Coturnix japonica: one gene and its partners. The protein of the gene in region 1 interacts with the protein of each later gene in a pairwise test. Links are inferred from orthologs where the notes say so. Each region holds a gene or a part of one and is shown in the gene's direction. Other genes may lie near its edges. The genes, in order: SH3GLB1, TPD52L2 and SYNGR3.

Region 1 (3,746 bases):
AATGGTCTAATCCATGGGAAATTAAAGGATGGGACTCTTCCTCCACTTCTATCCAAGTAATGCTCAAAAAGAGAGCATTTTCAGAAGGAAAGGGCTGAGGTCCAAGGCAACAATTTCCTCTCTGATAGGTGAAGCTCGTGGGCAGCTATAGAGTTCAATGTTCAAGATCCAGCTGCATTTTGTTCTGGTCTGAGCTGAGCCATGCCAACTGTTATGAATTCCAGATTATACACAGTGTTCAACCTAGACTTCCCTGGGGTACATCTCCCTGAGGTGGTGCTTCTGCCTCAGTATCAGGCACTGCTGCTCTCTGCTGTTTGGCACCTTGTGGAACATCTCCACCACTGCAACTGCTGACAACACCAACGAAAGATCTGGAATTCAATAACTGCCTTTGTATCTCCACATTTTAAATCTGTAGCGCTGTGTCATCTCTTTGAAGAACAGAGACTCACTAGAGCTTATTATGCCAGTATACCTTGGAAACATGTTTGCCACAAAGTTTTTACATATAAACAGTTCCACAAGTGCGTGTCTGTTATGTAAGTGACACAAGAGCTAACACACACACAGCAGCATTCAGGCCCTCTCCTTAACAATACTTTTGCACAGCTTGGGCAATGTTTGGGTTTTAGTTCCTGGAATTTGACCAGCACGTAAGAAAGATTGTGTTGATCCTTCCAGTTATTTCCTTGTTCTGGAGCTCACTTCCTGCCGTCATACCCTGGGATTTCCTCCAGCCTTAAACAGACACGGCCCAGGGTTACTTGCTGTGTGGGTTGTGTGGTCAGTGACCCGACTGAGGGACCAGGATCACTTCTAAGGTGGCAATCTTAACCCATTGCTACAAGAACAACGCATTGTGAATCTGCTTCCTAACAGCCCACATCAAAGCTCTCCCTTCTTGGGCCATGATGAGGGACAGCAGCCCGTCCCCTCCCTCACGGCGGCTCGAGGCGACCATCCGCCGTCACTCGCGCTGCCGATCCGGGCCCTGCGCCTGACGCCGCGGCCGCGTCCAATCGGTGGCTGCGTCGGGCCCCGGCACCGCCCCCCGGCGGATCCCCACAGGGACGGGCCGGAGCGGCCGTCGCCGCTGCGGGTGTCGGGGCTGAGTCAGCGCCCTCCCGCCCCCGCCGAAGATGAATATCATGGACTTTAACATGAAGAAACTGGCGGCCGACGCGGGCACTTTTCTCAGCCGCGCCGTGCAGGTACGGCCGCGACCGAGCTTCGACGCGGCGGCCCCGGCTGTCGGGAAGCGGGCGAGGCCGCGGGCCGGTCCTTGAGGCCGGTCCTTGAGGCCGCCGTGGGTCGGCCCGGCGCGGGGCGTTGGCCGGGGATCGCGGTTCCGCCCCGGGCAGGCTGTGCGCGCCGCGGGCAGTGCCAGGCCGCGCTGCCTGGGGACCAGCGGTGCCCCCGCGCCCCCCTGTGCCCGGTCGGCCATCTGACCGTCTGTCTGTCTGTCTGACAGTCTGTCTGACCGTCTGTCTGTGTGTCTGGGTCCGGGCGTTTTTCCGCGGCCCGTTGCACAACAGCTGGGCTCGGCGGGCGGGGCAGCGCAAGGTCAGCGTAGGCCGAGAGCGGAGGGGGCGGCCGGGCTGGGCAGCGGCAGCTGGGGGGAAGATGGGGCTGCTCCTGCTGTTAGAGCAGAACAAAGGTGTGACTCCTGTGGAGGAAGCCGGTGTCTTCACTGGCCGCTCTGAACGCGTCCTGCTGCCCGACCGGTGGAACTTGAGCTCTGACGTGACACGTGAAAGCATCTGTCTGCTTTAGTGTTGTTTTGTTCGCTGCCGTGGTGTCGCTTTTAGACTCGTTTGTCGGCCCGTTGTTTCTCGATCTGTCTTTTCCCTTATGTTAAGGGAGCTGTAATTGGCTTTTGTTCCTCTGCCGTTATCTTGAGGTGTAATCCTCTTTCTTTATATAATCAAACCTGAACAGATTTCCTGTAGGGAGGTGGGTATCCAAAACGGAGCACAGCAATTCGCAGTCATTTCTTGTGCTCTCTCCTTGGGTCAGGTTTGGAACATGACTGAAGTGGTTATCTGCTCAGATCAGCTCAACTATTGGCCTGTATCTCAATATTCAAGCAGAACCAGCGATCAGTGTTACAGCAGAGCAACAAAGATGCAAACTCATCAGAAAACATTGTTGCTTAAACTTAAATTACCTTCACATAGTAATTGTGGCTTTTCTGTGCATTGGAGGTCTTTCCAAGTGCATTTGTTGGGTTTGTTTTTTTGTTTGTTTGTTTGGTTTTTGTTTGTTTGTTTTTCTGGCTTCTTTCAGGGCTGTATGTTTCTCAGACCATCTATTTCTTTCCAGCTTTAGCTTTTCTTGCAAGACAAGGGGGAGGGGAAGGGGGGAAGGAGATGCAGCTCACCCTTCATTGTAAGATCCTGTGGTAGGATCTTTTGACTTTTATCTTTTATCTTGACTTTTTCCATGTAAATGCTTTTTTGTGTGTTAAATGTAATGTAGGCTTTCCATCATGGCCTAAAGGTGGTATAAACTGTGGTTTGCTCCAGTATGATCTGTCTGTGTTACTAGTTTAGATCTGAATAGCTCCATTGATAGGCTTCTTCATCTGAACTGAAATTAATGGGGATAATAGTAATAGGCTCTACCGACTGCCACCTCCTCCTAAAATAAGATGTTTGAGGAGGAGAGTTGTATATGTATGTATGGTGTTGTATACAAAAGAGTACTATTTCCTTCATCGTGATCTGGGCACATTCAAGCAAGCTGTGGAAACAGGTGGGAAATCAGAGGGGCAGCACTGATGCGTTTTATTGGTGCTGGAAGCCATATTTCTGTCAAACTGTTCTTTGCCATGTTGCTCTGTATTTTTAATCTTTTTTTCCTCCAAGTGGGTACATGAAGTCTACCATGCACTAAGCTGTCTCCACACTATGGAGAAGAGTTTTGGAAATATTAATTGGAATTGTCATTTCATAAACGAATACAATGCTACGTAACTAGACAAGAATCAAAGCTGTTTTTCTTGTCTGTTAATGAATCTTAAAAAGCTTTTGAGAGCTATTTGCAGTACATATTATTGTTTTAAAGAGCCTTTTAAACAATAGTAGTAGCAGGTCCATAAATTCTATGTCTTCCTATACTGTGATTGAGCTTTTTCACAAAGGTGCCTAGATAAATACTAGTATTTATATAGATAAATAGTATTTATCTAGCCTTCAGATGTGTGTGCTATCAAAGTTGTTTTTATTCTAAACTTGGACAACTCAGTTTTATTTGTATTGTATTCTTGTTTTTTATTGTAAGTTTAAGTATTCCAACTAAGAGCTTGTTAAGAATGATTTTGATAGTTGGAATCCTTTGGTGCTCTTCCATTCTTAATTGGTAAGCTCGTTAGGGATGTAGTTCTTAACCAAGTATTTCTGAATATGCCTGACTTTGAACAGGCTGTGAAGGGATGAGGTCATCCTGAGGAACCAATTGTTTGAAGAGAGGCAGGCCAAACCCTTAGTTCCAGTTTTGTTTTGTTTCCTGACATAAAACACATCTTCTGTCTTTCCTGGAGACCTTATAGTGAATTTCAAACTGGTTATGAATTAGTAAGTGTTGGCATAAATTTAATGTCAAGTGAAATTATGTTGTCTTGAAGTGATTAATACACTTCTCCCCTGTTTTGCTGGTAGTGAAGGTGTGTTGTTGAACTTAATCTAAGGTTAAATCTGTAAGTTTTCTTAAGGATGTCTGGATAATATCATGTGAAAGTAATG
Region 2 (3,746 bases), on another chromosome or scaffold:
GCACGCACCGGGCAGGAGTTCCCCACGGCCGAGGGGATTCGGGTAGGGCTGTATGTGCACCATCCCTGGAGGTGCCCAAAGCCACGGCTGCCCTGTGCCAAACTGTGCCATGACATGCTGATACGTGCAAAGGTTTGCCGTGCCAAGCAGTGCCATACCAAGCTGTGCCATGCCATGCTGATGTGTGGAAAGCTGAGCCATGCTGTGCAATGCCAAGCTGTGCCATGCCTAGCAATGCCAAGCAATGCCAAGGGGTGCCATGCCATGCTGATGTGTGCCAAGGGGTGCCATGCCAAGCTGTGCCATGCCTTGCTGATGTGTGCCAAGCTTTGCCAGGCCTAGCAATGCCAAGGTGTGCCATGACATGTTGATTTGTGCCAAGGTTTGCCATTCAATTCAGATCTGTACCATGCTGTGCCATGCCATGCTGATCTGTGCCAATCCGAGCTACCCAGGGCTTCTGTAGTCCCTGGCTGAGGGCTTCCCCAAGTGACACCACAACGCACACTATCACTGCTGGGGCGTTTCGGCTCCAAACCCACCATCAGCCCCTTCATCCCCACAGCCAATAAAAGCAGAATGTGAAGAGCTGTGTGCTGCACGGAGTGCTGGCTGTGTGCTGTCCCTGTTATCGCTTCCCTATTTCACAGCCACTCACAGCAGGCAGGCTGCTCCCTGCAGAAAGCCCCATAGTGGGGTTGAGAAGCATCCACAGAATCACAGAATGACCCGGGTTGAAAGTGACCTCAAGGATCATGTAGTTCCAACCCCCCTGCCTGGCAGGGCCACCAAACATACACCTTTACTAGATCAGGTTGCCCAGGAGACCCCATAGAACCCCATAGAGACCCCATAGACCCCATAGATCCCCATAGAGACCCCATAGACCCCATAGATCAGGTTGCCCAGGGCCCCGTCCAACCTGGCCTTGAACACCTCCAAGGACGGGGCATCCACAACCTCCCTGTGCAGCCTGTTCCAGGCCCTGACCACTCTCCTAGTGAAGAACTTCCCCCTAACATCCAACCTATCCAGAGATGTGACCCCGTGTTTAATTGGTTCAAAGGGGCTGAGGGGCACTGGAGTGACAGCGGCAGGGCCCAAGGAATGGCGTGGAGCCACAGGAGCTCGGGTTGGGGTTAGGGCCGGGCCGCACCAGGCCAAGGCCAGGCCATCCCAATGCCGTGCCGCTGCTGCCCCCTTCCCTCCAGCCTCCCGTACAGCACAGCACCGCTCCGAGCCCTCCGCCCCCATGACGTCACTTCACCCCCGCCCCCATGACGTCATGTCACCTCCTCCTCGATGACGTCACACTGTCGGAAGGCGTAGGCCGCGGCGAGGCGCTGCAGCCATATTGATGCGATACGTGACGTCATCTACCTGCGCATTCCCTCCCGGAAGAAGGAGGGCGTCGCGGGGTGATTGCGTCACAGGGGTGGAGGCGGTGGCTGAACGGGGCCGAAGCGCCGCCATGGAGAGTGCGAGTCAGGGTAGGGATGGATGGACGGGCTGCGGGGTCGGGGGACGAGAGGAGGGACGGGGGGTTCTTGGAGGACAGGGGGAGCTCCGTGAGGGGCAGGAGGTGGGACCTCGGCTGTGGGGGGCAGGAGGTGAGGGCTCAGTGTGAGGGGCAGGTTGTGAGGCCTCAGCTGTGAGGTCCCCCCTATGAGGCCCCCCCGGGCTGGTGCTGAGGTGCTGCTGTTCCCTCCCTCAGGCCTCGCTATTTTCTGTTCAACGTTGGCTTGGGAAATTCAGCTGAGGGTTTTTGTTCCTTTTTCCTGTGAGCAAAGGGTCCTTTTCTTCACTTTTCCCCTCTGGGTTTTGCATATCGTGTTTCGTTTGTTGGCTGTTTGCTATATGTGCTCTGTGCTTCTTGTTTTGACAGATATCAGCCTTAACTCTCCCAACAAAGGGCTGCTGTCCGATGCCATGATGGATGTTCCCGTGGATAACGCGGCTGCTGCGAGGACGGCAGCGCCCGAGGGACTGAGTGCTGCTGAGGAGGAGGAGCTGAGGGCTGAGATCGCCAAGGTAAAACTACTCCTGAATCACACAGAATGACCCGGGTTGGAAGGGACCTCAAGGATCATGTAGTTCCAACCCCCCTGCCTGGCAGGGCCACCAAACATACACCTTTACTAGATGATGGGAGGGAAAAAACGAGGGTTTGGTGGGTGCTGTAGGAGCAGGGTGTGCTGGCAGGTATTTCAGACCGTGTGTGTTATTGCCTGATCATCCACAGAACTGCTTCATGTGGAGCCTTAAAGAAATAAGTGGCTTAATCAAGGCTTTTAGCTCTGCTCCAAGCAGGAAAACACCACTTTAGGTGAGCTGTATGCAAACATAGCTCCTTTCTCCTTAGGAAGCTGAAACAATGAGGTACTTAATGTGCTTTCATCATCAGCCTTTTCTCTTAAATATTTATCACGTTTCATAGGCGGCTCTTTTAGCTCCATTTATGCTTTTCCAAAGCTGAGAGCCTGTAATGTCATACCTCAAATTTTAGGCGCCCTCTGGGCTTTAAAGTTCAGTTTATAATTTGTATGTGTAATGTAGCTGATGGTAGTGTTGATTGTTCTTTCTTATACTTGATAATCTCATGCTGGTTCTCTCACTTGCATGTTTTGGCAAGGGAGGACTTTGCTGTTCTGAGTGGCTGTTCAGGTCTTGGTAAACTGTGATTAATTAAGTAGGAATGAATTCTCTTTGCCCTGAAACCACTCCAGAGTAAGAAAGATCTCTGAGCTCTTTGTTCTAATGACAGCAGAAGAAAACAATCATAAGATTGAATCCTTAGCTAAAAGAGCTTTTGGTAATTGATTTACTTTTTTAGATGGGTCTACTGTTGAAATTACAGTGTGGGGAATGAGTTCTTTTAGTGCTATTAAAACACTGGTCCAGGGGCTTTTTATACATTCCCAGAATCTTAGCAAACCGTGATATTGAGATCCGCATCTGTCTCTTTCTAAGGTGGAAGAAGAAATTGGTACTCTCAGACAAGTTCTGGCTGCTAAAGAGAGGCACTGTGGAGAGCTGAAGAGGAAGCTAGGTTTGACTCCCTTGGATGGGTTGAAGCAAAACCTGTCTAAGAGCTGGCATGACGTACAAGTCTCCAACGCGTAAGTGTTGCTTGTTATGTGTGTTTCACATGAAATAGTGACTGTAGCATTTATTTCCCTTTAGCACATCCCAGAGCTTTTCCAACTGGCTGGAGGGTTTTGCTCTGATAAGTATGTAGAGTAAAAGATGTTTCTAAAATGCAATGAATTGAATGGATGCCATGTGTCAGCATAAACAGCTTTCATATCAGTGGTATGAATGCATCATTGCTGGATGCTCCCTTGCTCGATGTTAAAGACCTTGATCACTAGTTAACAGTTCATTTTGTCTGTTTCTGCCCATTTCTTTGAGACACAGACTGCTGCTACCTCATTCTGAGCCCAAGCTCAAAGAGAAGTGAAAAAAATGCTGGAGTTCACTTAGTAGTGCATAGTGTTAGTTGAGAATGCTATCTGTAGCATTAGTCTGCTAGGAATGTCATATGCAGAGATATCTGTGCCTAAAGAAGGTTTGAAATGAAAACTACACAGGTACAAAGCGTATGGTTGCTGCACTGTTTGACAGTGTCAAAAGGAGAGTCGGGGTAAATCTGAGCACAGCTGCCAAATGTAAAGGGCCCTTGGGGTACCCAGAGGGATATAATTCAGTCTAAAAAGTAACATGCAACTTAAATTGAATTTGGTGTT
Region 3 (3,746 bases), on another chromosome or scaffold:
ATGGATCTGGGGGGAGGTGGTGATGGAGCACCTGCAGCCCCCAGCTTTGCCTGCAGGCCTGCTCAGTGCCAGCCGTGCATGCGTACTGCTCCCTGCGCCTTCCCTGCAGTTCCTGTCCGAAGCAGAGATGATGTCAGAGTTGTCATGGTATCGGTATCTATGGAACCAGGATCATCGTCACGGTGCTACGAAAGCTAAGGAGCCAGGTCCTGGAGCTGTGGGGGGAAACTCCCTTTGTAATAATTGAGGGTTTCCCTCTGCAGGCTTTCTGTCCTTTCTATCCTTCGTCTTTTCCCTGGGGAAGGGATGGGTCTTGGCCTCATCCTGTCCCATGACTCTGGTTGTTTCCCTTCCCACTCAAGCAAAGTGGGAGCTCCATCTGTCTTTGCTTCCTACCACTTTGCACCAGGTCTGTGTGGTGATGTGGCCCCATTTGTGCTTGAGGTCACAGCACCTCTGCTCCAGCAGCATGGGTTGCCCTGGCTATACACCTCAATTTGGTGTGGTGGCCGTAGCTGTAGTAAGGTGTCCCAGCTGCAATGTGGTTGCTTCTGCAGGCTGGCCGTGTTCCGAGAGGTGACCTCAGCCACAGCACAGTGACTGCAGCTGCACCATGGGGACTCCAGCAGCAGCAACACATGTTCCACAGCTATAGCACTGCTGCTCAGTAATGATGGTTGCAGCACAATGTCCCAAGTTACAGCATAGTGTCCCATTGTAGTGTTTTCATCATGGCTGTAGCACGGTGCCCATGGCTGCAGCATGGCCATTGCGTGGTGTTCCTGGCTATAACATGGTGTTCACAGTCATTGCATAGTGCTCGTGGTCATTGCATGGTATCCCTGGCTGTAGCATCACACTTACAGTCATCGCATGGTGTCTCTTGACTGTGGTATGATGTTTTTGGTCATTGCATGGTGCCAATTGCTATTGCATGGTATCCCTGGCTGTATCATGATGCTCATGGCCATTGCACGATGTCCCTGGCTGTATCATGATGCTCATGACCATTGCATGTTGTCCCTGTCTGTATCATGATGCTCATGGCCATTGCATGGTGTCCTTGGCTGTGGCATGATGCTCATGGCCATTGCATGGTATCCCTGTCTGTATCATGATGCTCATGGCCATTGCATGATGTCTCTGGCTGTATCATGATGCTCATGGCCATTGCATGCTGTCCCTGTCTGTATCATGATGCTCATGGCCATCTCGTGCTGTCTGTGGTCATTGCACGGTGTTCCCGTTTGCAGCACGTTGTCCGTGGCCATGGCACTCAGTGCCAGCACGGCGCAGTGATCTCGACCTCCCCCGATGTGAGGTGGTCTCGTTGCGGTTCTCATCACTCCGGTCTCGTTCACCTGCCGCTGCCCCCCCCCACGCCGCGGGTGGTTCTTCCCTCTGCCCGCGCGCGGCGCTGCGGACGAACCCACGCGAAAGGCTCGCGGGGGGGTGGGCGGACAGGCGCGCGGCCGGCGCGGGGAGCGCGCACGGCTCGGCTCGGCTCGGAGCGGCGCTGGAGCGGAGCGGGCGGTGGGGGAAGATGGAAGGATCGTCCTTCGGAGCGGGCCGGGCCGGCGGTGCCGTCGATCCTGTGGATTTCCTTAAGCAGCCGCAAACCATCCTCCGGGCGACGGCTTGGGTGGGTAAGGCGAGGCGGGCAGCGTGCGGTGACCGGGCACAGAGCGATGCCCGTGCGGTCTGCGGTACCCGGGTATTGTGCACGCTTATGCGGTGTGCGGTGGCCGTGCGGTGTGCAGCCGGCAGCGCTTTGGTTGCTGGCTCCCGTGGGAAGTTCCGTGGGGACGGGCACGGTGCAGCGGGTGGATGATGCCGTAGCCCTGCAGTGCTTTTATCCCTGGTGCTTGAGTGTGAGAGAGCAGGGTGCAGCACAGAAGCAGAGGACATTTTCTTCCCATCCATACTCTCTGTGTGCATGTGTGAGAGAGAAGAAATCTTACAGCCAGCCCTGGCTCCCCCCTGTTCATCCAGATGGATGTCATATTTGCTGGTCCTTTCTCATATGTGAGTTCTGCTGTGCAGTAAGGAACAAGAGGTGGGATCTGTGCTGCAGCCACTCGGTGAAGTCTTTACCCGTTGCTGCTCTCATGAATAAGCAGCCAGAGAGCTGTGCTGCCAGGCTGCAGTGTCCAGCTCTCGCCTGCTACGATTAGCAAGCATGCATGGCCAAGGGAGCTCTGCAATGCCCCAAACCCCAAGTGTGGAGTCTCAACCCTGCTGCTGCAGGCTCTGGTTCTCAGAGCTGGGCCCTGGGGGCTCATCCTCACTTGTGCATGGGGGCCATGGCTGCTGGCTCTGTGTCACCTTCAGCAGTGCCACATGCATGCAGGAAGGGGAGGTTTGAGGGAAGGGGCTGCCCCTCTAGCTGCTGTCAGGCAGTGTGCAAGGGGACCCTGGGGTGACTGAACAACATAACATGGGAACATGCACTTATCTTCAAGCACATGAGCAGTTCCAGCTGCAATCACATGCTCGAAGTTCAGCCACATGCTTAATTGTTTGGCTGGATTGGAGCCAGTCAACCTGCCAGGGCTTTCAGAAAGCCCTTAGCTCCATTAGTGAAGGAAAGTGAAGATTATGGATATGGAGCATCCTGGTGTGGGGTGGCATTTGTGAGGCTCCTGCTGGCAGGCGTTTCCTAGAAGCATCATTTCAATCTGGAGGACTTGGTTGGGACCCAGTGGAATCCTCCACATGGCAAACCATTGGCAACGTGTTGGTTTGGGCATGGTCAGATAAATCAGTGGCCAACAGGTGTTGAGTTGGATTCCCTTTAAAAAGATCTGCCAGCACCCAGCCAGAGAGCTCACCCTCCTTGGACTAGGGGGCAATAGGAACAGCATATGGGAGATGAATTAAAAATCCCAGCTTAGAAGATATTTGTTGGCTGTTCAGTAGAGAAGTCATTCATTTTGTGGGTCTGAGTTCAGAAAACTGGGCATGTACAACAACAGAATGGATCAATTCTAAGCAGGTGGAGGGGTCCATTGGCTTTCACGAACATGACATGCACACGGTTTGCAGCGCACTGTCAGATTCAGTAAGGCCTAGAAAGTACATGCTGAAACCATGTGGATGTTTCCCTTGCCTCACATGTGCTGGAAGATGCTGTGGACCCACTCCCTTGCAGATGCAGCACAGGGGTGTGGAGTCCCCATGCTGTGATGCTGTGACCCAGCTGTTTGCCACTGGCTGCTCTCCAGCATGAGCAGGGATGTGGCTGGTGTGAGCTGGGCATTTGGGGCCAGTTCCGTTCTGCCTGATGCATGGCCACTGTTCTTGCAGCTTTTGCAAAGCAAAGTGTGCCAAGGCTCTTTTTAGCTTTAGTGCTCGTGCCAGATCAAACCCACGGCCTGTTTTAAGATGGAGAGCTTGGACGGAGGCGGCAGGCGATGCACTACAAAGCAGCATCTGTCTAAGATCTTGCTGCCTTTCTGTTCCACCCTGATGCTTCCCTTTGCCAGGCTGGGATGTGCAGCACAGCCCCACAGCCACTACAGCGCTTCCATTACTTGCTTTGTAATGCCCACCTTTGCTGGCCTGCCCATAACCACAGCCTGTGGGCTTGTTCAGAAACCCCTTGAGCTGGGTGTAGGTGTTGGGGCATCTTTTTTCATGTGATTCCCCTTCCTGTTGCTTGTTGTCACATCTTTTTAAGCACATTTAACCTGTGTTGTAGGAGCAAACCTTGGAGGCTTAATCCTTGCTGCCATTTACAGAATCAC

What was found.
Region 2: the proteins of SH3GLB1 (region 1) and TPD52L2 interact in binary tests that used the Homo sapiens proteins (3 or more experiments, as listed by UniProt). The two-hybrid records come from large-scale screens. The link is inferred for Coturnix japonica from reciprocal best matches to the Homo sapiens genes SH3GLB1 and TPD52L2.
Region 3: the proteins of SH3GLB1 (region 1) and SYNGR3 interact in binary tests that used the Homo sapiens proteins (3 or more experiments, as listed by UniProt). The link is inferred for Coturnix japonica from reciprocal best matches to the Homo sapiens genes SH3GLB1 and SYNGR3.

Annotation. Positions count from the first base shown.
Region 1 is NC_029523.1:13,928,866-13,932,611, reverse strand, and holds the start of SH3GLB1 (endophilin-B1), read left to right. Parts: upstream 1-940; 5' UTR 941-1,142; coding exon 1,143-1,214; intron 1,215-1,544; exon of another isoform or gene 1,545-1,566; intron 1,567-1,638; exon of another isoform or gene 1,639-1,660; intron 1,661-2,661; exon of another isoform or gene 2,662-2,676; coding exon of another isoform or gene 2,677-2,757; intron 2,758-3,746. UniProt on the Homo sapiens protein: May be required for normal outer mitochondrial membrane dynamics. Required for coatomer-mediated retrograde transport in certain cells. May recruit other proteins to membranes with high curvature. May promote membrane fusion.
Region 2 is NC_029535.1:8,588,792-8,592,537, reverse strand, and holds the start of TPD52L2 (tumor protein D54), read left to right. Parts: upstream 1-1,360; 5' UTR 1,361-1,471; coding exon 1,472-1,490; intron 1,491-1,885; coding exon 1,886-2,031; intron 2,032-2,970; coding exon 2,971-3,119; intron 3,120-3,746.
Region 3 is NC_029529.1:6,135,734-6,139,479, forward strand, and holds the start of SYNGR3 (synaptogyrin-3), read left to right. Parts: upstream 1-1,328; 5' UTR 1,329-1,543; coding exon 1,544-1,642; intron 1,643-3,746. UniProt on the Homo sapiens protein: May play a role in regulated exocytosis. May indirectly regulate the activity of the plasma membrane dopamine transporter SLC6A3 and thereby regulate dopamine transport back from the synaptic cleft into the presynaptic terminal.